2 linked regions of the Saccharomyces cerevisiae S288C genome follow. Each later gene encodes a partner of the first gene's protein in a complex. Each region holds a gene or a part of one and is shown in the gene's direction. Other genes may lie near its edges.

Region 1 (2,712 bases):
TGTATAGAAGTGCTGTGATGGGGATGCTTTGGGTCCAGCATTTCCGAAGTTTTACTTTTCAGGTTGTGAACAAAATTTTTGGACTTCAAAGAAAACGATCTTGAAAGTTTTTTGTTTGGAGAGGGTGCTACTTTTTTATGCGGCAATAAGTTATCTGCTGTTTGAGGCCTGCTGAAACTTCCATTATCAGACAAACGTAATGTCGATGAAGAGGTTGATGTTTTCATTTCTACGGTATCGGTTCTTGTAATCGGGGAGACATGATTCATAGATTTGGAAGTTGACGTTTGAATACCTTGAGATGATTTGTTATTTTCTTTCGTAGCTTCTGATAAAGTTAATGCCAGTCCATGCGGAGGTTCGACCTCTTCGTTCATTTGTACAGCCATAGGGCTGTTCAAAGGACTTGTAATTTTATCAGTGCTATTTCTGGGTGTGTTGACGATGATTTCATTCTCTTTGTTGTCTGTATCATCTTTGTCTGTCTCTTCTTTATCATAAATTGAAAAGAATCTATTCGCGTTCGAGTTCGAATTTGGGATCCTCGGATCCTTTACCACTATGGAATCTCGATTTGCTCTTTGTGGTTTTAATAGCCTATAGGTTACGTCTTCACCCATTTTGTTGATGTAGTCCTCATTATCCACCAAACTCTGCTCTTCAATGCTATTACTATCGTGTTCCAAAGTAGAGTTCAGAATGTCGTCAATAGAAACCGTCCTTGCGTGAGAAGATGTTTCCTCCCTGTCCTTGCTGTTATCATTATCATTATTGTCATTCAACGATGATTCATCTCTTTCTTGTGATACTAAAACTTGTGGAGTGAGCTGTTGATCCTCATTCGAGCTTACAAGGTTCTTACTTATTGCGGTGTTGTTTGTACTGACATCTGACTTACCATTTATTCTGGTGGGTGACAAGGGCCTTTTGACTGATCTTTCAGGAAGTTTTATGGGAAAATCTTCTTTCGATGAATTTTTTGTTTGATTTTCCAGTAATAGTTGTTTTTTTCTCAACAATTTCTCGTGACAATCCATACAACATAGTCCTCGTTTTGTCTTTGCATACTTTAAGTTCTTTATACGGTTGCTGCACCGACAGCATCTGAAACAATTGGAACAATAGGCCTCATTTGAGGAAGGCAGTATAATTGCTGTGTCGTCTATTTTATCGCCACAATTTGTACATTTATCTGAGCAGTCGTAACAAATTAATGTACCTATATCCAGAACCAAAAAGTCTGAATCTGCGTTCAATTTTTTGTCACATTTGTAGCATGTAAAGCACTGGTCATGCCATTTTTTGCTTTCTAATTCGTATACCTGGCTAGACGCGATTGATTTATTGCACCTCACACATAAAGACGATTGGTCATTAATAGGGTCAGCTGACATATTTTTTTCATCAAAATCTCCTTGCTCTTGAGATGCTACGTTATATTTCACTTTATTAAAAGTACAATGAACTCTTGGTAATAAAAGATAAGGATTAGAAACGCCAAGTATGCAAAGATGAAATGTTAATCAATAGGGGAGTCGACTGATCGATCTTCTGGCTAACATTCTCCAAGGAATGCCAATTTTCATATCTCGACCTGATACTGTTTACCCGAATGGGAAACTAAATTGACGTGCATTATCATTACAATTAAAAGTTACTGAAGCGATGCAACGATTTAAGCACAATTGAAGCGGCATAAATCGAATATCACTGTGGCTAATTAACTGGGTTATGTGTAGGAAATAAATGTTATTACGACTATAGGCCTTTCTTTTAGCCGTTTAATGTAAGATATTTCTATTATTAAAACATTTTACCCGGGGGCAGCTGTTCGTGTACAATGCCAAATAAGCAACGTCGCAGCAACCCATTCAATAATGCACAAGACGCCATATTAACGAGAAAATATGGCATTGCACAGTATAAGCAAAACAAGCAGAGATTATTAGTGATGTCCGGAAAAGCTTCTACAGAGGGTAGCGTTACTACGGAGTTTCTCTCTGATATCATTGGTAAGACAGTGAACGTCAAACTTGCCTCGGGTTTACTCTACAGCGGAAGATTGGAATCCATTGATGGTTTTATGAATGTTGCACTATCGAGTGCCACTGAACACTACGAGAGTAATAACAATAAGCTTCTAAATAAGTTCAATAGTGATGTCTTTTTGAGGGGCACGCAGGTCATGTATATCAGTGAACAAAAAATATAGACTTATCTCCTCTAATGGATTAATATGTAGGAATGAGCAAGTTGGTTTGACATAAAGTTGCATTTGCGAGTTTAGCACGGATACACACAAACACACCCATATCTATATACATATATATATATATGTGTGTGTGTATATCGAATAGGATCGAACAGTTTTATTTTAATGAATTTTTATGAATATATATTGTAAAGTTTACTCTCCGTCTCATTATTTTTATGCTTTACTAAAGAAAAAATGAATAGAGCCAGAAAGTGACGGAGTTTCCTTATAGACATATGAAAACAACGAAATTTTGTTCTATCACTTATGTACTCCTTTCAATTTCGCTCAAAAATTATTTGGATTTACCAAAAAGTTTTTCTTCTCTTTGCATGTTTGGTTTAAAAAGGCTTAAAATAAAGAATTTTCTACAAAAGTAAAACTCCACGTTCAATGCTCTTCCGCACCTTTATGATGTCTCAAATGAAAATAATATTCCATGGAATAGCCAAAGGCAA
Region 2 (2,863 bases), on another chromosome or scaffold:
CGTATCTACATAAATCAATTCTTACCCATTTTCTTTTGCATTCTAGCCGTTAATTCACGGCTTAGTCGTTTGATATCGTGTTTGAATTGTGAATTGCATCATTCATGCGGAATGGGAATCATCGCAGTCGTTATCCGTCTCACAAACGTCGGCATTTGCTGACTATTAAGGCGACACGTAACCTACAAACTCAATTTGAGACGCAAACGCAAGTTGATTAGACGTTGAGAATGATGCAAGTAGCAACATCGGTAATGGTTAGACTATTTTATCAGAAAACTATAGAAAAACTAAAAACAAAACAATGTCACAATGACAAAGAGGAACCCATACATACACAGAGAGCCTATTCTTCCAGTAGTTCCTCAATATCAGCATCACTATCTGGGTCCAACCCTTGGTTTCTTCTCTTAGCCTCTTCCAAAGCGTTTTCAAACAACTCCTGTTGTCTTTTAACTCTTCTTCTAGTTTTCTTACCCCAACCGAAAGAAGTTGTTTCTGCTGTTGCAGCATCATCTGGCTTGTCGATCAGGTCTTTTGATCTCTTTTCCTCTTTGTCTCGTTTGTCCTTTTCCACTTGGGCAGCCAACTGCTTCTTCGCCAATTCCCTGGATGCGATATTTCTTAAGAGTAAATAACCACCTACAATTATCACCAATCTTATAAAGTGCTTGTAGTCATAGTTGACTAGTTTTGCCATCCAGGTATCCACCCATGTTTCCGCTACTTCAGACATCTCTTTCAATTACTCGGCAGTTTTTCTCTTCATAACATCTTTTCCTCATACAAACCGCCGAGTGCACATAAATACAACTACAAATAATAATATGTTGACATCGGATGGAGATCACTAACTAAACCGCCACCGCGCTAATTCTGCACAAATTCAAATTTCATCATCGCTCTCCACGTCATCATGGACGTCTTCCACCTCGGCGGATTCTTCGTCTTTTGATAGAATTTCCACAGCCCGCGGACGCACAAACGATCCGTGACCCGGCGCCACAGGCCCAAACAGTGTTACCCCATTTATGCGCCCATCGTTTTTGCCTGCGGCTTCCGGGAATTCCACACCGCACCATGTGCCCATCACGTCCAACGGTAGTGGTCCTACGTACCGTAAAATGGCCTCACGTGGAGCGCTCCCGTCTACTGTGACACGACAGTGGCGGCCGATAGCCGCCGTTAATTGCTCTCGGGCATATGCTTCGTCCTGCTTTGCCAGCGCAGCGCGCTGGCTCTGCTGTGCAGCATTAAACCTACCATAGCCGTGAGCCATCTTCCATCGTAATACGGATTGATCCCTTCGCAAATAATCCTCCTCGCTAATTACTTCCATTGAGGGGATTCCTTCCGCTTGCGTGGCCAGCTGGTTAGAGATTGATTGGGCATTAGAGTCTGTAACAACCACAATAAGCTCCTCCTCTCCTTTTAGGAAGTTGGCATCTTCATCCTCATTTGAATAGGCACCCCCCTTTTTAGTACTATATATCTCCTTGTTGTCGTACTGTCTTTTCACAACTATTTCCATATCCTCTGGTTCCACTCCGGTAACATGGTACAATCGGTCCTTGAACTGCCTTAATTTAAGCGAATTTGGTAATTCCTTTTCTGTACGGACCAATTCACTCTCTATGACAACTCTAACCATAGTTTTGCCATGTAATTTTTTTTTCTATCTCTTTATTTGAATTCGTTGCTCTATGTTCTTGTCGCTTGTCTTCTTCAACTGCCGTTTCCCTGCGAGCCGGAAAAAAGTACTGTTCTTTCGAACAAAGGCGAAAAAAGCTGTAGCTGAAAACAGACAACTGGGAAACGACAATTAAGAATACGCATGTACGTGTATACTACTACAGTAAAAAAGAAAGTTATTTGAGAGCAGCACTTTGTTTACTACACAGAACATTAACCAAAAAAACATGCATCAGCAACACTCCGTATGTTTCACTTCTTATTTTCTTCCGTGGCAATAACCTTCCTTTTGACTTATTTATACTAACATTATAATAACTATGTTTCCTTTTTGAACTAAGAAATCAGAGAACAAACCACAACAGCAAAGGAAAAAATTCGAAGGCCCTAAAAGAGAAGCTATTCTGGATTTAGCGAAGTATAAAGATTCTAAAATTCGCGTCAAATTAATGGGTGGTAAATTAGTTATAGGTGTCCTAAAAGGCTATGATCAACTGATGAACTTGGTACTTGATGATACAGTAGAATATATGTCTAATCCTGATGATGAAAACAACACTGAACTGATTTCTAAAAACGCAAGAAAGCTAGGTTTGACCGTCATAAGAGGTACTATTTTGGTCTCTTTAAGTTCCGCCGAAGGTTCTGATGTACTATATATGCAAAAATAGGTTTAATAATATAATCTCATATAAACTCCCTTCCTTACAGTTGAAAACAAAATCAAATCACGGTATGGCATTTCTTTACATATTCTCAATACCTGACTGACATAGTATGCGCTACATAGTTTTGTCCTATTTTTTTTACACCGCGATTTGAAGTCTAAAGCCAGAGAATGAGGAAAAACGAAACAAACTGAGATCATTTGTATAAGGGGAGTCACTGTACAGCTGCCAATACCAATTTTCCTTCTGCCAAATCAAAAAAGTATCCGCATACACATACACCCCTCCCTCTACAATCTTAATTATTTACTGATTCCTTTCGTATTTGTCCAGTATGAGCAATACTAAGCATACCACTTCTCATCACATGGAACTCAAAAGGATCATTATCCTTACACTTTTATTCATACTCATAATGTTGATATTTCGAAACTCAGTGTCCTTCAAAATGACATTTCAAGAACTACTGCCACGATTTTACAAAAAGAATTCAAACTCAGTTA

The links. The genes of interacting proteins can lie anywhere in the genome.
Region 2: LSM6 (region 1) and LSM7 share a complex: the UniProt entries of both Saccharomyces cerevisiae proteins name them as parts of the spliceosome U4/U6-U5 tri-snRNP complex.

What each region holds. Positions count from the first base shown.
Region 1 is NC_001136.10:1,228,849-1,231,560, reverse strand, and holds LSM6 (U4/U6-U5 snRNP complex subunit LSM6), read left to right. Parts: upstream 1-1,951; coding exon 1,952-2,212; downstream 2,213-2,712. Other genes in the region: GTPase-activating protein RGA2, read right to left, coding at 1-1,394; ATP17 (F1F0 ATP synthase subunit f), read right to left, coding at 2,645-2,712. UniProt on the Saccharomyces cerevisiae protein: Component of LSm protein complexes, which are involved in RNA processing and may function in a chaperone-like manner. Component of the cytoplasmic LSM1-LSM7 complex which is involved in mRNA degradation by activating the decapping step.
Region 2 is NC_001146.8:349,021-351,883, forward strand, and holds LSM7 (Sm-like protein LSM7), read left to right. Parts: upstream 1-1,919; coding exon 1,920-1,937; intron 1,938-2,033; coding exon 2,034-2,363; downstream 2,364-2,863. Other genes in the region: PGA2 (Pga2p), read right to left, coding at 347-736; ALF1 (Alf1p), read right to left, coding at 887-1,651; YNL146C-A (uncharacterized protein), read right to left, coding at 2,366-2,560; YNL146W (uncharacterized protein), read left to right, coding at 2,695-2,863. UniProt on the Saccharomyces cerevisiae protein: Component of LSm protein complexes, which are involved in RNA processing and may function in a chaperone-like manner. Component of the cytoplasmic LSM1-LSM7 complex which is involved in mRNA degradation by activating the decapping step.